4 linked regions of the Cricetulus griseus genome follow. The protein of the gene in region 1 purifies or fractionates together with the protein of each later gene. This does not show direct contact. Links are inferred from orthologs where the notes say so. Each region holds a gene or a part of one and is shown in the gene's direction. Other genes may lie near its edges.

Region 1 (5,263 bases):
GCCTGAGGTCCACTGTCGTTAGTGTTCTGTATGAGTCACAGTGAAGCCTAATGACACTTATGATATGAGGGAGCAAACACTCCTGAGTCAGAGTCCCACAAGCAAATGTCCAATGTAGCATAGCTCACATGACCACTCTCCTTGATTGTTAACTATCCACATGAGCCTTTCCCTCATGTCAGGGTCCATCTCAAGTCTTTGGAAGTCCTTGTTAGGTTCTACATGTTGCTCCTGAGGGGAATACTGTCTAGTGGATACTGGCCTACCAGTTTCACGTCTTTGCTACTCCTCTGAGATTCATATGAGTCAAAATTTGCAATAGACTTTTGTACATATCTTTTACCAACTTCCTGATGACAAATTTGAACAAAGCAGAGCAAAGCTGGAGGTCTAATAAGAGTGACAGACAGGCTTTTTATGGCCAACTGTTCATTGACTCATTCTATTTTGTTCATAGATTCATTCATAAACATTTAATTGTAGGACAAGGTACTTTGCTACTAGGTGCTTTCAAAGTATCACTAATTTTCATAAAACCTTGTGAGCTGTTAATGCCATTTTATTAGTAGTCCAGAGGGATGAGTTAATTTGCTTCACAGATAGAAGAAAAGCAAAACACCATTTGAAGTCAGGCCACCTGACTCTGAACCCCCACCCTCTTTCTTTGCTAAATTACAGCGCCTCAGTATTTATTTATAGCCACAGGTCAGGATTTGGGCTATATTTGTACATCCACATCATACTGAATTCTCACCCCAACCCTATGTATGTCTGGCATTATTACCTCATTTCACACATCAGGTAACAGGTGTCCAATATCAGCCTCCCATTTGTCCTCCGTTTAGTTGAATGACCACTTTGTCACAGGGTAAAGTTCCCCTTTATATCCACTAGAATCTCTTTAGAGTCCTTGGAGACATTTTGTCAGAATCCATAAATGACTTAGGTCTTGACCTTTTTTCCCTGTGGGATTTAAGGAGCTACAAGGTTCTAATTGTGATGCAGAATTAAAGCCAGATTTATGTAAGAATATAGAAGCTGCTGAAATGATAGGAAAAAAAGTTGCTAATCCTACTAGGTAGAATGCTCTGAGTTTTGTGCATCTCAGCAGTTCCATACCTGTCTTCAGGGTCACTGACAGTATCCTGGCCATGGCTCGTCCGTCCTCTGAGCTGCTGGAGAAGTATCACATCATTGAGCAGTTCCTCAGGTGAGTACCACAGCACCCATGGCTGTAGTGAACACAGTCAGCATGCTTGTCTTTAATTGATTATGGCATCAAAGGAAAAAAGAGCTCACTTTTAAAAAACAGGCAGTGAAGAGCTGATTATAAAGAAAAGTTTGAGAGCAATCAATAATGCCTTACTAATGCTAAAATCCAGTTTCTCAGGACTTGGGGTCCTTATAACTGATGGCTCTTTTCCTTTGAAGTCATGGCATAAAAACAATCATCAACCTGCAGCGCCCTGGTGAGCACGCCAGCTGTGGGAACTCTCTGGAACAAGAAAGTGGTTTCACGTACCTTCCCGAAGCATTCATGGAGGCTGGCAGTAAGTTCCTTCCCACCCTGAATTATCAAGTTCAGTACATAGAGACTTTTGTCCTCCAGGCTCTCAGGTTAAAGAGAATACTTATCAATAGAATCTGTACGGTAGTGGGGCTTCTGATTTCACCTTAAATGATGCTACCTTTCTTGGATGATGCTGTTGTGAGTACAGGGTTTCCTTTTCCTCTAGGAGGGGCTGGGAGGAGACCCTGCAGTAATAAGGCTTCTGTTCAGTTAGAGTCTGTACCGTGTCAGACATGACGACCTCAATTTCTCTTTACAGCAGTTGTGCCACTCAGTTTAGGCTTAGAGAGTTATCAGCTTGTCTGAGATCACATAGATTAGAAATTCAATGGGGATTGGAAGTTGAATAATTTTGGCCCTACAAGAATATATCCTCGTGGCCAGCCCAGAGCTCATCACAGACGCTTTGGAGTGGAGTCCACTCAGTGGGGTTATTCAAACCAGGCTGAGCAGGGAACGTGTTCTTAAGAGGCTTGTATCTAGCTTTTTTTGGTCACCCTAAGTAGAAAACTCTGTATCTATAGCTATATAAAACTCTATATCTAGCCATTTATTAGCCTTTTAGAGAATTTCTATTCTTAAACAAGAATACATGTTGTTCCCTCCACCTTTGTTTTTAATTCTACTCTGCTAAAATTCTTTCCACCTGCACTACAGCAAGAAATGTATTAAGGAAAAAGAATGTGCTTGTAAGAAATTTTAAGTTAAGCTTTCTGGAAATATAAAAATCCTGTTAGATGGGTATGGTGACTCATACCTTTAATCTCAGCACAGGAAACAGGGGCAGGCAGATCTCTGTGAATTCAAGATCATCCTGGTTTGCTTATCAAGCTCCAGGCAAGCCAGGGCTACACTGTGAAACCCTGTCTCAAGACATAAAAAGTAAAAAAATAAAAAGCCTATTATTGTAAGTCTGCTTATTTAATTAAATCTCTGTGCCTTGTGACTCATTTTCTTCAGTTGTCCTTGTATTTTTATGCATATTAATTTTGTTTTTCTTTTTCTCTTTCACTGTCTAGTTTATTTCTACAACTTTGGGTGGAAGGATTATGGTGTAGCGTCCCTCACTGCCATCTTAGACATGGTAAAGGTGATGACATTTGCCCTACAAGAAGGAAAAGTAGCTGTCCACTGCCACGCAGGGCTTGGGCGAACAGGTGAATTCTAGGAATCATGTTGTGCTGTGTGGGCATAATGAAATATATAGGGGTGAGATTTCCTAATTCTAAAGAGAGATAGTTCTTAGAGTCATAACAAAGTTTTAGAATTAAATTAAATAAAAGATATTTGAAGCATCTTAAGCCTTTATAGTAACCATGTATTGATAAGAGTATTTCTGAATAATTTAGAGCTGAAAACTCACTGTGTTTAAGCATGTTTCTAAAACTACTTAAATAATCAGCTTATTTAAATGGAGCACCTCATGTTAATAAATAGTATTTTTTAAGATTCTTTCTTTCTTTCTTTCTTTCTTTCTTTCTTTCTTTCTTTCTTTTCACCAAGATAGCATTTCTTTGTATAACCTTGGTTGTCGTGGTACTCGCTGTGTAGACCAGGCTGGCCTTGAACTCACAGTGATCCACCTGCCTCTGCTTCTTGAGTGCTGGGACTAAAGACATGCACCACCACCACTACCAGACAAAACATTGTTTTTCTTAAAGACTTGCTTTTATTTTATGTCTGTGAATGTTTACCTGCATGTCTGTGTGCCTCAGAAGAGGTGGTCAGATTCCCCTGAGACTGGAGCCACAGACTATTGTGAGCACTGTGTTGCTGCTGGGAATCAAACTGGGATCCTCTTCAGAGTGCAGGTGCTCTTAACCACCCAGCCATCTCTCCAGCCCCCAAAATATCTTTAACTGAAAGAACTACTGAAATAGCAAGCAACGTTCATCTGCTGGAGTATTTTTCATTTACTGTCCTTTGAAGTTGTTAGCAACAATAGGAGTCAAACTGCAGTCTAAGAAAATGTAGTAGTCTGCTACATTCAGGGAGTGGCAGGGTCTCTATTACATCCATCAGTGTCTGGCTCCATCTTTCATGCCATGTCTATCTTGGGATTTATAAGGATTCTGTACTTGAAGAAGACTGTTTGCATATAAAGTTCTGTGTGAAAGTCAGTGGTTTTATATAAACACGCAGCAAACTTCATTACATTGCTGGTCTGATAGCAAAAATGAAAGGCCTGGGATGGATAGCTTCACTGTCATGTGATTTGTTAGACAAAACCACCCCAGTGTATATCCCCTGCCGTGGGATTTCCTACCTGCCTAGGAGCATCCTAGACTAGTATTCAACTCATGTAGGTTTGGGCAACTCTTAGGATAAAGCCAAAATGTCTTTATTCCTGGACATTACATGTTATACCTCTGCAGATATTTATCCTTATACTAAAGATGTGTGATGTCCCCATGAGAAAGCTGCATTGTGTTCACTGCAAACTGGAGGACATGCAGTTCTCAGAGGTTCTGATTTTCATGTATAACTAGATGTTCACAAACTTAGGAATTATGTGTCTGTCTTTTACATTAAGAGTTGTTGGCTGTTGTATTATAGTTAATTGATTCTGGAGTCTTAACAATGAGTAACTAATGAAAACCAAGCCATTATACTGTTGCAGCTGACATCCTTATAGCGTTTGCTTATGTGACAGAGTCACACCGTGGTCTGGAGAAAACACAGACTAGTGTAGACACCATTTGGAAGAATTGTCAGGCAGAGAAGTAGAATGTATGGATGTAATAATCCCCAAAGCAAAACCTTCCCAACCTGGGAGAGGGCTCAGCAAGAATGTCCTGGCAGTGGGTGGCAGAGATGCCAGAGCAGGGCGTTCCCAGGGCAGAGTGGGTGGCGGATCGGATGGAAGCATCAAGAGCTGTTTACCCCAGAGCAGTGCAGGGTCAGGGTTTGGCTTCCTTCATGCCAGAGTGAGGCATGGGGAGGCTCGACCAGACCCTCAGCTTAGTTTTTAAGTCCTCCTCACCTCAGCAGCCCTTTACCTGCCAATTGTGCTGGCTCATCTCTGGGGCAAAGCTGACTCAGTCACAGGAAGGAACTTCCACAAAGATGTGTAAAAGTCTTTGCAGTAATGAATGCTTGAGGGGCTGGGGATGCCGCTTAGGTGGTAGAGCGCTTGCCTAGCATACAGGAAGTCCTGAGTTTGATAGCCAGAACTACATAAAAGCAGCCTGGTGGTATATACTTGTATATACTTGGACGGTAGAGGCCGGAGGATCAAGAGTTCAAGGTCATCCTTGCCTGTATACAGAGTTCCAGGCCAGCCTAGGTTATATGATAACCTGTATTTTTTTTTTTTTAAAAGCAACAAAGAGCTGGCAGGTGTCATTACTATCCTTTAAATGTGCTTGTATTTATGATTTATTAACAGCATTCAGGCTTTAAAGTCACCAAACACTGGCACATAAACGAGTCTTTTCTCATGTGAGTCTTCTTTACTGTCTAGGTGTCCTAATAGCATGTTATTTAGTTTTTGCAACAAGAATGACTGCTGACCAAGCAATTATATTTGTGCGGGCAAAACGCCCCAATTCCATACAGACCAGAGGGCAACTGCTCTGTGTACGGGAATTCACTCAGTTTCTGGCTCCACTCCGTAATATTTTCTCTTGCTGCGATCCCAAAGCACATGCTGTTACCTTAGCCCAGTACCTGATTCGCCAGCGTCATCTGCTT
Region 2 (5,263 bases), on another chromosome or scaffold:
CTGCCTCTGTCTACTGAGTGCTGGGAGTCAAGGCAGGTACCACCAAATTTGACATTTGTACTTCCTGTTATTTTCTGTTTTAAATGTATTTGCTGTGCTGGGTAACTTCTTTGCCCTCCTGTACCTCCTGCCGCCTGTGGGCTTCAGACTCTTAACATGTATCCGTCCTCCAGCATTTGGGCTTGCAGCTGACCAGTTACCATTGGTGTCCTTAGCAACTGCAGTCCAGGCTGCATAGATTGGGAAAAAATGGCTATTCAGGCTTTCTGAGGTGATGTGCAAAGATACAGTAGGAGTCAGGGACGTGTCTGTACTCTAGGAGAGAGCCAGGGTTTGGTGAGAGAAGGCTTTCCTCTGCCTGCTGCTACTGGGCTGGAAGACATGCGCTCAGGGAAGGTCTTACTGGACAGAACTCAGCAGGTACCTTTCTGGTGACCCTCAGGGCAGTGTGTGTGCACAAATCCCTTTGTTTCCCTGGCAGCAGATGGGTGAGGGGTTCTCAGTGTCAGGTCCTAGACTTGGCAGCTTCAGTGTGACCTGAGCCCCATTCCACTGAGTGCCTTCAAGTTCTCACATGGTATGTCCCATGAGCTTTGGGGTCCATGTCTTGTGGGTGTGTTAAGCATCCTGCTGTGGTTCTCTAGTGTACTGTGTGTATCGAGTGCATGTATCTGCGGGTATTTGTGACTCGCTACCAGGGAAAGAATAAGAACATTTGGGTCTGCTTACATTTGTAGGTGGTTTTGTTAAAATCGAATTGGTATCATATGTCTGAGTAGAAAAGGAAGGTTGTGAAACTGTGTATGACAATCTGTTAGGGCATATGTATGGATACGTCTGGTGCTCTTAAGTACATTATAAAGACTTCTTTATTTCTTTTTTGTCAGAAGTTAAGTTTTTCTGACCATTTGTAAAAAAAATGATCATTTATAAATCATAGGAAAGGTGTTTAAAAATTTTATTTTAAATTATGTGCATGTGTGTGTGTGTATGTGAGCTTGCTCATGTACTTGCAGGTTTTCTGAGAGGCCAGAGAGGACATCTGATCTGGAGCTGGGGTTGTCCGCAGTTGTGATCCCGCTGGTTTAGGTGCTGGGAATTGAACTCCAGTCCTCTGGAAGAGCAATGTACATTTAACCACTGAGCCATCTCCCAGTCCAAGAAATTATTTATTTAAAAAAGTTTATTTTTGGTAAATATTAATGTGAGTGGTATTCCCAGAAGATGTTTTTATTGCTTTCTTTGAAAACCAGCCTTTTGGATTAAGACAGGCCTTTTTTTTTTTTTTTTCCTTCTTCCAAGTTTTGAAGGACTTTTAAGGCTTAATATTCTTCTTCTTTTTTTTTTTTTTTTTTTTTTTTTTAAGGTTTAATATTCTACGAGGAGATTCATGACACCTGTATAGGGATGCTTGCTGTATGAAACCTGAGCATCCCCCTCTTTTTTTTCTTCCAACTTGGGAGCCGGTGGGGGTGGAGTTTATGTATGGGACTTGGGCTGGTGTGTAGTGGCTGGTTGGTGGCTGAGAATGTTCACCAGGGCCTTTCCAATGCAGTTTTTTTTTGTTTCCCCTTTGAGACAGGGTTTCATTGTTTAATCCTGGCTGCCCTAGAACTTGCTGTGTAGACCAGGCTGGCCTGAAACTCAAGAGATCTGCCTGCCTCTGCCTCTTGAGTGCTGGGGTTAAAGGTGTATACCACTACCACCTGGCATCCTACAGCTTTTATATTTAGCTTAGAATTTTATAATTTGAAGAAAAACTATGTTTTTGCACTTTTAAGTGGCACACAGTGAGGAGGTTTCTTTGGGAATATCCCCCATCCCTCTTTGGGCATGAAGCTGCTGTAAGACCACTGTGCAGCCTGCAGAAGCTAAAGGAGGAAAAGCACAGAGGCTGTGTATCTGTCATTGGGCAGTGTCCACCCAAAGGGAGGGCTCAACGAGAGGGATTTAAACAAAGTTCTAGGTTTTGTTTTTTTGAACAGTGGGGGTATCTTTTACAGGACAAAATTAGTGAAAATATATGTATATCAAGTCAGAGTTAGTGAGAATAGACAGAATTAGATATTTAAAGAAAACTTTCAGATCAGCCTGACCTTGAGGGGAAAAACAGACACACAGACAAAACAAGGAGTGAAAACTGGCAGAACTCGAGAAAGGCTTGCATTCCTCTGAAAAGAGAAGTGAGAGGTGCCAGGAACATAGTAGGCATCTGGCCAAGTAGAGTTCAGTGTAGTTGAGGTCTTGGTCAAGGCTCAGTCTCTGGTTACTTTGGCAGTAGAACCCTGTGTTAGTGGCATTGTAGTAAGAACAATCATTTTAAGTATTTGTTAAAGATCAGTAGCTGGGAGAAAAGCATGGGTGCTTATCCTTGGTGACAGACGTTTTAAACTGCAATGGCTGTGCTTCACCATCATTATCATTAAGTGTGTGATGTCAGGTTTGCAGAGTGTATTTTGAGTCTGTGTGGTGTGGTTGTGTGTAAAGCAAGCAGCTGAAGATGTTCTCTTGGGCTCTCCTGCAGTCTATGCCATTCGGGAAGCTGCCACCAACAATCTCATGAAGTTGGTCCAAAAGTTTGGTACCGAGTGGGCCCAGAATACCATCGTACCTAGAGTGCTAGTGATGGCAAATGACCCTAATTACTTGCACAGAATGACCACTCTATTCTGCATCAATGTAAGTATGACACAGTGTCATTGCTAAGCTCAGGCATGAAATCATTCTCAGGATATTTCTAAGTTCTGAGTGAGCTACCTTTTGTTTGAGGTGCATTTTGTATACTGGTAAATTTGGGTAATTAGAATAGAGAAAATGTTGATTTGAAAATTGGAGCTGGAGAGATGGCTCAGTGGACAGGAGGGCCCCCTGTTTGCTCAGAGGACCCGAGTTTGAGTCTCAAGCACCCATGTCAGGTAGCTCACAACTTTTGTAATTCCAGCTGCTGCTGGTGGCGGGTCTGACTCTTCTTGTCTCCCACCATCATCCCCCTCGTCATGAATCCACACATAATAAAACTCAATATTTAAAACTTGATGTATTTTAAAACTTGCATTTTGTTGTGTGATTTGGCATAGGTCTTTCATCTTTTGAGCCACCTCATGTTCCTTAGATGCTCAAGTAGGAAGCATTTTTCTGTTGGTCAATTAATTTCCCTTTAAATATTAGTTTGTTTCTCTAGATTTGGGGAGTATTAAGAAAGTTTTAAATGTGCCATCTTACTTATTTTTCTAGGCACTGTCTGAAGCCTGTGGTAAGGAAATAACCACTAAGCAAATGTTGCCCATCGTGTTGAAAATGGCAGGAGACCAAGTAGCAAATGTCCGTTTCAATGTGGCCAAGTCATTACAGAAAATTGGACCAATTCTAGATACCAAGTAAGATTTATTTTAGTGTTGCTATTGGTGTGAAAGCATCTCCTCACGGGTGTGTGTGTGAGTGTGTGTGTGGGGTGAAGGGAAGCAATAGCTAAAATAATCCCAGGGGTTTCTTTTTTTACTTTTCATAGAATCTGGGCTTATTCAAAGAAAAGAATTCAGCCCTAGGTTTTGAGACTGTTCATTTTGACTTTTACATTTATGTTCTGGGTATATATAGAACACTGCCCCAAAGCGAATTTCACCAAGAACTTCTTTAGAAATTATTTGATGTACTTGTCATGTTTGTATTTAAAAGTATTTTCATTTTAAATTAAAAAGTTACCATCGATCCAAACCTCAAATTCCAAAGCAGATTGTGTTCTAATGGACCTCTCTGTCCCACCAGCCATCTTTTGAGTTACTTCTGAATTTCAGTGCCCTGCAGGGGGAAGTGAAACCAGTGCTGCAGAAGCTAGGTCAGGATGAAGACATGGATGTCAAGTATTTCGCACAGGAAGCTATAAGTGGTATGCATTTCGTTTGTTGCTCGACTTTGGTTGGTGGGAGTTTTCCTCTACTGTGTGAGCAGTGGGAATTGCAGTACGATGGGCATGATGGGAGGCAGAGGGTGGCAAGCACCTGCTATGCTGGGCCTGTGTGGTTAGGGGTTTCTCAGGCCTTGCTGGGCTTGGAAGCATACACTTGTAATCCCAGCACTTGGGAGACTGAGGCAGGAGGACCTCAGGGTAGAGGAGCTGGGGCTATATTGTGAGACCCTGTCTAAAATAAAGTCTTGGCCTACGGTTCTCTAAGTGAGCAGGCCATTTTCTCAGTTCCATGTGTAGGATGCTGATTCTTACTGGCAAGAGCAGTTTTGGTTTGGACTCGAGATTAAGTCTTTAACTTCCAGTCAGCCTGACAGAGTGCAGGCCCGCAGTGAGAGCTCAGGCTCATGCTGTTGTCATTGTTACATACTACATGTTCTCATAGCGATCGCTAATGAACTTTCTGTACCACTAACATGATTTTGTTTGGAATTTTCCAGTTCTTGCCTTGGCATAAAGAGGAACAGGAGGGAAAAGCCTTTACTAAATTCTTATCACAGATCTCTAGTCAATGTGTTCTTACACTGGGTGGAGAAAAATGGAAACCTTCAAGATCTCATCCAAGCAAATGGCAACAACTTAGAAGAAATCAGATTTCAGTGACTTGATCCTTTGTAAACATGAACTGAGACTGATTTGATGTCTCTGTCGGGATAACTTGAAAGCCCTTCTTACTGACCAGTTGCTGATATTCCCTCGCAGTCCCCCTTTGAGTGTCTCCCAGGGGTTTCTTCCAGCACCCCTGAGGCTCCTGCTTCCTCCCTTTTGAATCAGGCCCCAGCCACATAAGATTCCAGACAGAGCCTGGATGGATTTGGACCCCGACATGGAGTGGAGTGATTCTCTTACTGTTTACATGTGTCTCTATGCCTGTAGCTTTCCAATGTTAAAAGTAAATGGTTTAGAAAAACTTATAATTATCTACTTGGGAGATAATACTGAGATTTGACTGTAGTGAAAGCCACATCTTTCTGGTTACGATGGTTCGCATCAGTATCTCACACGAAAGGAGATATGGAAGGTTAATGTATTGGTTGTTCTGGTTTTCATTTGCTCAGTTTTGACTGTAATCATGTCATGCAGAAGCCTGAAGTGGGTGTATCTTGCTGCTAATGTGTGATGTTGAAAGGTATCAATTTCAACGGCTCAGCACTGTGACTGCCTTCAAAAACTCATAAGAAACTTTAGTGCCTCCTACTAAGCTGTGGTTCTACGGTTTCATTGTGAAGTTTTGTGTTTCAAGTAAGTGTAGGAACCACTGTTCCTGGTTCTCCTTCCAGCAATGTTAGCATCTTGCCA
Region 3 (6,027 bases), about 210 Mb from region 1:
CTGAAAGGCTTGGACTAGGAAGTGCAGAAATGAAATTCTGTCAGTGGATAGGGCATCGCATCCCTTGTGGAGAACCAGAGAGAAATGACCACTGCCCAGGGGAGGGTAGAGGTGGAAGGGCATGACAAAAAGGGAAGAAGGGAACATGTGACTTGAGTGCTTTGAGGAGAGATACATGAAGAGTGACTTTCTGAAAAGTAAGAGAACCTGACTTGGTCCTTGGCGAGCAGGAATGCCCTGAGAGCAGGCCAGCCCAGCCCAGCTAATAATAAGCTACAGCCCTTGAATCCCATGCCAAGGGCTTTGAACTGTGCTATGAGTGATTATGAGCTGAAGGTCCTAAGCAGGAGTGACAACACTGTAACTGTATGAAGGTCACCCTGGCCTTTGGAGAATGATTGTGGGTCAAGGACCACAGGTTCTATGGAAAAAGTCAAACTCTCAGGAATTTGCACACTTTTCTACAAAGAGCCAAATGGTAAATAGTTCAGGTTCTGCACTCTGGACTGTCCTTACACTTGTATGGACTTTGACGGTGCCCGGTTCTGCATAAGGCTTGTCTCAGCAGCATGATGCTAGTCCAAGTACAGAAAGCTGGGACACATGGGAAGGCATTTTGCAGAGATGTGGGTACAAACCTTTACCTACTGACCTCAAACCATCTTCATAGAGGGAGAGTAGCTACAGCTCATCAAAATGAACAGCCCTGCTGCTGCCAGAGTTACCTTTAGGATATACCTTGCTGACCTTATTATATATATAGGCATTAAGTTTTTTTCACTGTAAAATAAATACATATGCTACTCTTTATTGAAATACTTTTTTTGTTTTTTCAAGACAGGGTTTCTCTGTGTAGCTTTGGAGCCCATCCTGGCACTCACTCTGGAGACCAAGCTGGCCTCGAACTCACAGAGATCACCTGCCTCTGCCTCATGAATGCTGGGATTAATTTATTATGTATACAGTGTTCTGTCTGCATGTGTCCCTGCAGGCCAGAAGAGGGCACCAGATCTCATTAGGGATGGTTGTGAGCCATCATGTGGTTGCTGGGAATTGAACTCGGGACCTCTGGAAGAGCAGTCAGTGCTCTTAACCGTTGAGCCATCTCTCCAGCTCCCGAAAAACAATTTTTATGAAACAGGTTTAGTGAAAAGAATGCTGTTGTCTTACACTTAACAATTCCTTTAAATGGCTTATTAAGAAACAGCTGATCCTCAGATCTGTTCCCAGGTTGGGTCTCTCACAGGTTTGTTGAAGTTTGTGAAGAAATTTGGCCTCAAACTGTAGTTAGAAAATGGAGAAGCAGGCCAGGCGTTGGTGGCGCATGCCTTTAATCCCAGCACTCGGGAGGCAGAGGCCAGCCTGGTCTCCAGAGCAAGAGCCAGGATGGGCTCCAAAGCTACAGGGAAACCCAGTCTCGAAAAACCAGAAAGAGAGAGAGAAGGAGGAGAGAGAGAGAGAGAGAGAGAGAGAAAGAGGAGAGGGAGGGAGGGGGAGAGAGGTAATTACTCTTTCCGGGGAATGGTGGGTGTTCTGCTCCTTAATTGGGGCTTTGTTCTTTAGCTGCACCTTGGGATCTGGACCAGCAGTTCTTTTGTTTTGTTGTGTTCTGTTTTTTTGAGGCAGAGATCCTCCTGCGTCTTCCACCTGGCCATCAGAGATCTGTTGTACCCTGTAATATCAGGCTCCATAATTTATAGTGCATGGAGCTATTCTGATTTTTAAAGATTTTTCATTATATTTGACCCAAGAAAATTGTGTTTGTTAATGCTACCATAGATAGCAACTTCTCAACAAGGGTAAGTAGTCAGCAGCAGCAGTGGATAATGGGCTCCCCCAAAGTCTAATGTGTTCTTGAATACCTGGATTTTATTATTGACAACCGATTTTATTCATAACTTAAGAGGCTCGCTTTTCTCATTTTCAAAAATCTACCACATGTCAAAGTCCGAATGACCAATGTAAGCCATTCCAAATGAAGATAGCATTCTGTGAAAACAATGGCAATGAGGTACCTTTCCTGGAGACAGCTGTGCATATAGAAGCAACAGACTGGCTCTGTGAAAACACTGAAAAGCCTGGCTACAAGATGGGTAGCAAGTCAAGTCAGTGATTCCAGTGTTTGTTGGGGACAGTCGTAAGAAAACTTGCTCTTCGCCTTGTCTTTTGCCGCATGGATATCCTGCAGAACTTGAGGAATGCTACTGCAGCATGGTGCTGGCCTGGCTTCCTGTGGCCTCTGCTCATCCACACAGAGGACGACATTGGTCCAGCAGATCACAGATCTGTGTCATTGTCAATACAGCTTTGACCCTTTGGTCCACCGAAGGTTCCACAGTGAAGACCACTGCCATTGAGGAAGTTGTTAACAGTAGAATGACCAGGACCTTGACAGGTTTGAAGAGCAACCACATATTTTTTGGTCTTGCTAGATTTTATTGTTTTTTGTCCCAAAACACAAAAATATAGTGTTATTATATAGAAAACCAAATGGGGGAGCTGCAGAAAGGCTAAACAATGAAGCCTCTCTTGGTTCTCCCACTTTCTTGGAATCCTTCCTAGGTCTCCACCTGTAATCAACTGTGTGTGTTCTCAACCATTCTTTAAACTTACCTGTTTATGATTTAATGTATTTATAAGCAGCAGCTCTTCTCATGAACTCCTAAATTCTGTTTGTGGCTTGATTATTAGTGTATGATTTGAGTTCTCTCGCCAGAAAATTTTGTGTTTGGCTCATAAAATCCAAGCCACAACCTTTGAGCTATAATTGATGCCTTAATATCATTTCACATGTGAAGAAATTGATTCCCAGGAAGAGTCATCAGGTCATTCTTTGCTGCTGCAGAGCTGCAGGTGTTCCAGCCAGGAGTTCTGTCCAGGTGTGTTATACCAGCTGTCTGTGCTCAGATGTGCTAGATTACCTTCATTTCTAATCCCAGTCATCCTTCATGGTTGCTGCACTGTGTTTTGTATATGTGTCTTAGGGTTTCTATTGCTGTGATATCATGACCATGGCAACCCTTATAAAGAAAACATTTAATTGGGGTGACTCGCTTACAGTTTCAGAGGTTCAATCCACTATCATTACAGTGAGGAGCATGTGGCATGCAGGCAGACATATTTGAGAGTCGTACATTTTACAGGCAACAGGATGTTGACTAAGACACTGGGTGGTATCTTGAGCATAGGAATCCTCAAAGCCTGCCCCCATAGTGACACTTCTCCAACAACTACATTCGTCCACTGCTTAGCATTCTAGAGTCTCTCTTTGCTTATGTTTTAGAGGTCAGTTGGCAACTGTTTGAAGAGGTGAGATCCCAGTCAGGCATGGTAGCACATGCCTTTAATCCCAGCACTTGGGGGGAAGCAGAGGCAGTCAGAGTTCACTGAGTTCAAGGTCAACTTTGAGAGTTCTAGGCCAACCAGTGCTATACAGTGAGACCCTGTCTTGGTAAGGGGGGTGGCAGGTAATAATTAGATAAGTAGTAGTAAATAAATGAAATAAAAGGTATTCAACCCTGTGGTTCAGTGTATAAGAGTCTTACAGAAATGTGCTGGTGAAAACCAAGAGGTACTTTGCAGTTGTAGAGCCTAAGGGCAGTGAAGCAGTGAGCTGGGTGGGTCATAATGTATAACTAGTTAGAGGGGTCTGTGCTTGGTGAAAGCAATGCGAATGCTGAGTGACAGCATTTGCCAGTCATTGAGCCTGTATAAAAAGTGGTTAATGCCCAGGTTAGGATGGCTCTGGCAGTTAGTTAACATGTGTCACCTGTGGATTAAGATGGGGTTGCCATTGAAGAGGTCTTTTGCTTTTATTTTGTTGAACACTAAGGTACTTTTCATTTTATAGTGATAAGGAGGTAAAAGCCAGCCGGTGGGTAACAGCTAAAAGGTGGCAGATCTCCTGTGAATTTTGTGGGTTGACAGTCTGCTTTCCAAGGCATACTGGCTTTTGTAAACTGTTCTAGGCTGCTACTTTTTCATGTTTAAACTTACTTAAGGTTTTATTTTTCTCTTTTAATTGCCTTGCTCAGGGTATCTAGAACAAAACAACAACAAAAACAGCTGTTTATAAAAGCTGTTTAGGACAGGCGGTGGTGGCACACAGTCTTTAATCCCAGCACTTAGGAGGCAGAGGCAGGTGGATCTCCGAGTTTGAGGTCAGAACAAGTTTCAAGACATCCAAGGCTACACAGTGAGACCCTATCTCGAAAAACAAAAACAAAAAGCTCATTATATAAATAGAACCTCTCAGTTCTGTTATTATATGTAGGAACCTGGGCTAAAAATAGTCTATATATTTAACAGTAAAAACACTAGTAGCAATGTAATGAATGATGGGAATAATACAGGCACCCACAGTCTGAATACCTATACCTCAGCATTTGATCTTGTTTGGATGTCCTTAAGAAATTAAGTCAAAGTTAGAGTTGAAGTTATACATGTAATTTCTCAGTTGCACACCTCTGCCACCTTGTCCACAGCAGCAGTGTCCACCATAACCATGATGCAGAGCTTGCCCCTGCCTCTGAGTTGATCAGTTGGTGCACAGATAGTTTCTGCTTGAGCAGACTGACGAGGATTGCCTTCTCTGTGCCTTTTTCTCCAGTTTTCTCTTTCTTTCTTTCTTTCTTTTTTTTTTTTTTTTAACTCTGACCACCCCCCATGGTGTATGCTGTGCCAGGTATTTCCTTGCATGGACTGTGCCACTGTGTATTGTACCAGAAAGGATGTGAGGCAAATGTCAAAAGCATTCAAAATGTCAGAGATCATTCTTGAAATGTCCTCCCTTAGAACCCTGGTAAATTCAGGTATGAAACGATGGCATTCATGTGAAACAGACACTGAGAAAATGTTTACCCTATTTTCAGTTTACTTAGTTGTATATTAAAGAATTTAAAATTCAGTAGGGTTTTTTGTTGTTGTTGTTTTTGGGTTTTTGTTTGTTTGTTTGTTTGTTTGTTTGTTTGTTTTTTTAAGTAGAAGGCTCTTGCTGAATTCCCCTATTGGCCTCAGGCTTGTTGATACTGCCTTGGCTCCCTTGTAGCTGGAATTATGTGTATGTGTGCCACTATCTTGAGCTAAATTATCACTTTGGGTGTTTGTTGGTTGTTTGAGGCACACCCTCTCATTGTGTAACCCAGGCTGGTCTCATAACTGAAATCAGCCTCTTGAGTGCTGGACTTGAGGCATGTGTACTCATTTCCATGGCCTGTGCCTCATAGTTTTTCATTATTCTCAACCAGAGACTTTTCCTGTGAGTATTCTCTTCCTCCCTTTGCTGCACTGCTGCGGGCTTACTCTACTCAGTCTCTAGGGATTCTGTGTATTAAGTAGGAGCACACTATTCATCCACCTGTCTCTGTTATCTCTTGTGTGTTCCAGGCTCTCATAATGCTGGGGGCATCAGCACTTCATTCAGACTTTCTGGTTTCGTGGCAGAATATGATGACTTTTGAAGCATGTGTTTTCAACCTACCTTTTTGTTACACTGTTTTTAGTACTTGTTATTCTGTTACATTTTTCTTTTCAAACAAATGTATTCCTTAAAAGCAGTTTGTTTGGGATTGAGATGCTGATGCATTGAGTGAACTAATAAAAAGTAACTTGTTTCAATTCCCCCCCCCCCCGCCCCCAAGGTAAATGATAAAATGAGAATTGGTAATTTTTTACCTTCATTTGATAAAAAAACTAATGTATTTTGCCTTGATACCAATTGATATCACTTGGCAAAGTTAGCTGTTTACAGTTTCTTCAATTTAGAGAAAGAGCTTTGAGTTTCTACCTGTATATTTAAACATGCTTCATGTTTAGTATAAGGAAGAGTCTCTCAGGCTTGGGTATATTCCTAGTGAATGCTAATGAAAATGGAGACTAAGAAACAAGCTATTGGGAAAGATTAGCAGCCTGGTGTTGCTAATATAATCAGTTAGATTTATAATCAGGTCCATCCTGAAACTCTGAGATGTTTCTCCTTTTGGTACAGTCTCAGAATGATGGCATTATTACATTAATTAATGAGGAAAA
Region 4 (5,263 bases), on another chromosome or scaffold:
AGTATGTGTTTCTCCCTAGGTACATGAATACCTCAGAAGTAAACTTTGCTCACTCTATGAAAATGACTGCATATTTGACAAATTTGAATGTTGTTGGAATGGGTCTGACAGGTAAGGAAGAAACTTGCTGTTTTATCCCCTCTGGTTTGTCATACTAGGTAAAAATAAAGACCTAATTTTTTGTTTCTTTGACAGAAGTTATTCTTTTTTCTTCCAGGTACTTGTGAAATAAACCTAGTAATCATGAATAGAGTTATAATGATTAAAAAAAAAGTGTTGATTTTCTACATAAAGCATAAGAGATCTATAATAAGAAGTTATAGGTATTTAAGTTACATTATAAAATCTTTCCCCTTTTTTTGTGAGCCACATAAATGACATTGCTAGCCATGTACAGTGTGTATCTGTAGTTCCGCCCCCCTGGGCAGCTGAGGCAGGAAGAGTGCTTGAGGAGTCTGAGTCAGTAATGCAGACTGTTTCATGAAAGAAACATTAAAAACAAAATCATAACTCAGATATGCCAACAGTTAATTAAAGTGGTGAATTTCATTGGAGAACTGTTTGGGCAGCTCAGGTACTTGATGCAGTGTTGTACTTCAGTGTCTGTAACCACGACACTCACTCCACAGAAGCAATTTGTATGTTATTGCAAGTTCTTAGTGCTTACTGTATTCCGATTCAAACACAGCATAATTTTGCAGTTACTTTAGGCCTTATCTAAAGCAATTACAGGTGCTTTATTTGGCGGTAGTTGAATTTAAAAAGCTTGATATGATTCACATTTTTTGGTGTTAGATGTTAGAGCCCTCAAACTTGAGGTGTTTGTCTTTTCTCTGGTTTTTAAATTATAATTGCCTGAGTTTTATATGAGGCTTAATAATAGGCTGATCACACTACTCGAATGCCTCCTGCAGGGTAAGTACCTGTGATGTCATTGCTAAATGTGAGTTCAGGAAGGACAGATGTGAAGAGAATGTACTGGTGTATGTAGGTGTGGCGTCTTACAGTCAGTTTCCCCATGTCTGGTATCTGTATGGTTAGTTCTCAGTGCCCTTCCGTTGTCAAGGAAGGTGATAACTCTCAACATCAAGGATACTTTCTGAGGGCAGGCAGGGTGATGGATACAGCAAAAAGGCTTCCAAGCCTAACAACCTCAGTTGGATTACTGGAACCTGCAGAGAAGGAAGAACCGACCCATAAAGGTTGTCTTGACTTCTCTCTCTCTCTCTCCCTCTCTCTCTCCCTCTCTCTCTCCCTCTCTCTCTCTCTCTCTCTCTCTCTCTCTCTCTCTCTCTCTCTCTCTCTCTCAAGCTCTTTGGAATATAATTACTTTTAAATTATGCATTGAAAAATTTATTCTTATGTTTATCTTAATTTTATGTGTATGAATGTTTGCCTACATGTATGTGAAGTATGTTTTTGTACTTGGTGCCTGTGGAGGCCAAAAGAGGGCAGTGAACCCTGGAACTGGAGTAACAGATGGTCATGAGCCACCCTGGATTGCTGGGAACAGAAACCCGGCCTCTGTAAAAGCAGAAAGTGTTCTTAACCACTGACAACTCCTCCCACCCCACCCCCCCCAGCCGGCCCCCACACCACTTCCTAATGGACAGGGGCCCCATCTGCCACAGCTACAGCTCAAAGCCAGCTTTGGTTAGTGCTGTCCAGAGCTCGGTGACCCACCAGGTGGTTTCAGTCCCTTCATGGCAGAGAGAAACCTGCTCTTGTCTTAAAGTGACATGGTGTCATAACTTGTTCTATGTATTTTAAGAATTCTCCAGTTCTTTCTTGTCTTTCATAACCTGGACATTTTGTGCTACAAAGTAACAGTTAAAAATTTACAAACATGGATGGGTACCACCAGCTTAATTTATGTGAATTGTTTTTAAAGAAACAGTTTCATTATCAGGGACATACACCACCCTGAATTCAATTGATATTGTCCGTTCTTTGAGGGACTGGCATTCTGAATAAATCAGAATCCTTTGTGACACACCATGTATTAGCTGACCAGTCCCTAGTTTGCCTTATGCACAGTAATTACAGAGACCGTTTGACTCGAGTAGAAAGGTGGGTAAACTAGGAAAGAAATCAGACAACAAAGGTGGTTTTGAATTTAGTGAAAGATTTGAGTAAGTGTTTGGTTAAGGTGTTTTTTTGGAAGATAGGTCTCCTGGCACACAACCTGTAACTACAGCATTTAGAAGAACAAGAGGGCCAGGAGTCCAAGGTCATTTTGTACTACACAGGGAGTTTTGAAGCCGTGATGGCTTTCATGAGAATACAGAACAATTGTTTTGTGCCACGGGTACAATAATTTTATCATTAATGAAGATATGTTATTTATTTTTTTTTTTTTTTTTAAGATTTGTTTATTGATAGTTGTCTGCATGCCAGAAGAGGGCACCAGATCTCATTACAGATGGTTGTGAGTTACCTTGTGGTTGCTGGGAATTGAACTCAGCTCCTGGAAGAGCAGCCAGTGCTCTTAACCTCTGAGCCATCTCTCCAGCCCCATAATGTTATTTTCTTGAGCAGGTCTATTGTAAGCATTCATATTATCTGAAGTAGGCATGGTAAATATATGCCTATAATCCCTGCACCAGGAATGTGGAGGCAGGAGGGTTATGGTTCTGAGGCCAAGCTGGGCTGCATAATGAGACCTCATCTCAAAAAAAAGAAAAAAATTATCTGGGCAAGTAAAATAGCTCATAATTTGCTTTATGAAACAGCAACAACCTTTTTTTTTCCCCCTCCCCATTTTGGAGGAGGTTAGAATGAACTCCATAGGTTGCTAGTTCTAGAATCCCCTTAGTATGGTTGGTTGCATGGTCTACTGTTGGCAAAGATTACTCAATGAGGTAATTCATACCAAGAAGAGAAATGTACTTGGGTGCTATCAGCTTTGTACAATTTCTTAAATTTGCTTTTTTAGAAAGAAGATTCTAGTGCTTTTGGTTTGGTTGTCAATATCCTTTATGTCTTAGTTCAGATAAGCTTAAAGAAGTTGCTTCCTGCACAGTGAGTGCTAGGCAAGGTTGGTCACTGACCTGTTACAGTAAACAGTCTCTTGTTAACAGTTTGATTGGGTGTTCTACCTTTACAGTGTTGTCATGACTGGATCCTACAATAATTTCTTCAGAATGTTCGACAGGAACACAAAGCGGGATATAACTCTAGAAGCATCACGAGAAAACAATAAGCCTCGCACAGTTTTGAAGCCACGCAAAGTCTGTGCGAGCGGCAAGCGAAAGAAAGATGAAATAAGTGTTGACAGCCTAGACTTCAACAAGAAAATCCTTCATACAGCCTGGCACCCCAAGGAAAACATCATTGCTGTAGCAACTACAAACAATCTGTACATATTTCAAGACAAAGTGAATTAGGCTGGCATTCCTAGCAGAGGAGCCACTTCCTGCTTAGTGAGATAGTTGAATCTAGCATTCATACCTATAAGAGAGCGGTCCATTGTGGCGCCCCTTTCCAGTGTTTGACAGTGTGCCATTCGACAACACATTTGATAGCCACATGGAGAAAGCTGTGTGGGTGCATCCCAGGCTGTTCTCCATGTCTGCTAGCCGTTTAGGGAAGGGAAGGGCACTTTTAATTTAATGACTTCTTGCACCATCTTGCCTGGTGGACTGGACTGGACTGTGTCAGCATTGATGTACTCCACTTTTTATGCCTTCCATTGTGATGACGTCAAACACAGTGAACGCCTTCAGTCATGCTATGGGATTTGTGTATCCTCATTACTGTATCATTTGTGGGGTACACCCCTCCTCTCTTTTTTAAATTAAATACAGCTCATTCTTACTGTGGCTTGTAGCATTCCTCCTCTCTGGCCTCCTGGACTCTTCCCCTCCATCTCTTACCCTTGCCCTTTCCACCTGGTCTCGGTGGTGGCATATTAAAAGGAAGAACGAAAGCACACAAAACGAGTCAGTTTTGGGTCAGTGGTAATGGGGGTATATGTTGCGAACAAATGTTTTAATAACAGTTGGCTGTAATCACTCCTTGCCATGTCTGGCACTGAAAATAAGGAAAAAAAAAAAACTACTACTGAATAAAAGTGACAAAGAATGGAGAATCTGGTTTTCTTTTTCTTTTTCATCTACCTCTTTAAACCAATATTTTGTGTCATATCCATGGGTGCAATGAAGTGAAATGGGTTTCTATTGTCTCCTTGGTATTTTTATGAACTATTTTTAACAAGTGTTCTTTTCCATGGAGCCTCTGAGAGAGGTGTGGTTCTATGCACTCATGTGTTGAACATATATTATTGTTAAGGGTTCACGGTCTAGAGATGCTCGAGGGTTCTGTTTTTTTTTTTGTGTGTCTATGCTTAACTGTTAATGAAGTCACTGTAAATGAGAACCACAGTTGTAGAGCTTCACTCTGAAGTCTTCTTCCAGTGCTTAATTTCTTTTTTGCCTTAGGAAATACCAAGTAGACAAGCTGACTGTTCTTGCTGTTCCAGCAGAGTGGAATTCCATCTGGAAGTAACTTGGTAGATGAAACTCCATGCTGCACTAAAGAGCTGTTTTGTACTGATTGCTATGGAATCAGAATGAATTGTACTTTGCCATACATACGTCTTTTCTTTCAGTTTTCCAAAGGTATATTCGGGACAAGCTTTTAAAGGTACAATGCTGCACGGACTGAAACAATTGCAAAAGCACCAGATGTATGTTGACTGACCCACATTGTCCCAGTGCTGAGGCCCTAGCCAAAGATGGAAAGTGCCCCAGTTAGCATGGGACAGGCCTTGGTCAGTCCTGCAGGAAGCTTTATGGAGAGAGAATGGACTTTATTTTTCAAAGATGAATGAGCAGGCATTTATATGAGAATGGTAGTATATTTTGGTTGAACAGTAATATAACAATGTTGAATTTAGAGGATTCTGCGTGCTTATATATTTCCACTGTCTATTGTTCTTCAGTAATGAAAAATGATTAAACAACTCCACCACAGTTCCCTCTTCACTTACACATATATTGTGTCTTGTACGTTAACATTTTTAGCACACAGGAGAAATTTTATGTAATAAAGTTACTGTATCTTTTGAACTTAAATTTGAATTTGTATTTAAACAATGATGATATGTCTGACGATTCTTAATGGCACTTTTACTAATTTATTTGGGATCTTGGGTGCATTCCTAGTCTGTTATTTATTCTTTTGGCTTCCAAGTAGATAGTTGTCCATCCAGAAGGATCAACTATATTCATTCTTGATTGGATAACTTTCCAGATCTTTTGGG

Evidence for each region.
Region 2: the proteins of Ptpdc1 (region 1) and Ppp2r1b purify together in Homo sapiens (affinity purification with mass spectrometry; 3 studies listed by BioGRID and IntAct, counting the BioPlex papers as one, with this or other methods). This does not show direct contact. The link is inferred for Cricetulus griseus from reciprocal best matches to the Homo sapiens genes PTPDC1 and PPP2R1B.
Region 3: the proteins of Ptpdc1 (region 1) and serine/threonine-protein phosphatase 2A 55 kDa regulatory subunit B delta isoform purify together in Homo sapiens (affinity purification with mass spectrometry; 5 studies listed by BioGRID and IntAct, counting the BioPlex papers as one, with this or other methods). This does not show direct contact. The link is inferred for Cricetulus griseus from reciprocal best matches to the Homo sapiens genes PTPDC1 and PPP2R2D.
Region 4: the proteins of Ptpdc1 (region 1) and Ppp2r2a purify together in Homo sapiens (affinity purification with mass spectrometry; 4 studies listed by BioGRID and IntAct, counting the BioPlex papers as one, with this or other methods). This does not show direct contact. The link is inferred for Cricetulus griseus from reciprocal best matches to the Homo sapiens genes PTPDC1 and PPP2R2A.

The regions. Positions count from the first base shown.
Region 1 is NC_048596.1:268,381,644-268,386,906, reverse strand, and holds part of Ptpdc1 (protein tyrosine phosphatase domain-containing protein 1), read left to right. Parts: intron 1-1,129; coding exon 1,130-1,210; intron 1,211-1,431; coding exon 1,432-1,550; intron 1,551-2,589; coding exon 2,590-2,727; intron 2,728-5,033; coding exon 5,034-5,263. UniProt on the Homo sapiens protein: May play roles in cilia formation and/or maintenance.
Region 2 is NC_048597.1:162,644,516-162,649,778, forward strand, and holds part of Ppp2r1b (serine/threonine-protein phosphatase 2A 65 kDa regulatory subunit A beta isoform), read left to right. Parts: intron 1-2,524; coding exon 2,525-2,679; intron 2,680-3,234; coding exon 3,235-3,377; intron 3,378-3,794; coding exon 3,795-3,886; intron 3,887-4,404; coding exon of another isoform or gene 4,405-4,421; exon of another isoform or gene 4,422-5,263. UniProt on the Homo sapiens protein: The PR65 subunit of protein phosphatase 2A serves as a scaffolding molecule to coordinate the assembly of the catalytic subunit and a variable regulatory B subunit.
Region 3 is NC_048596.1:62,120,589-62,126,615, reverse strand, and holds the start of serine/threonine-protein phosphatase 2A 55 kDa regulatory subunit B delta isoform, read left to right. Parts: upstream 1-2,196; 5' UTR 2,197-2,211; coding exon 2,212-2,395; intron 2,396-2,798; coding exon 2,799-2,879; intron 2,880-6,027. UniProt on the Homo sapiens protein: Substrate-recognition subunit of protein phosphatase 2A (PP2A) that plays a key role in cell cycle by controlling mitosis entry and exit. Involved in chromosome clustering during late mitosis by mediating dephosphorylation of MKI67.
Region 4 is NW_023276807.1:221,993,708-221,998,970, reverse strand, and holds the end of Ppp2r2a (serine/threonine-protein phosphatase 2A 55 kDa regulatory subunit B alpha isoform), read left to right. Parts: intron 1-19; coding exon 20-111; intron 112-3,106; coding exon 3,107-3,386; 3' UTR 3,387-5,069; downstream 5,070-5,263. UniProt on the Homo sapiens protein: Substrate-recognition subunit of protein phosphatase 2A (PP2A) that plays a key role in cell cycle by controlling mitosis entry and exit. Involved in chromosome clustering during late mitosis by mediating dephosphorylation of MKI67.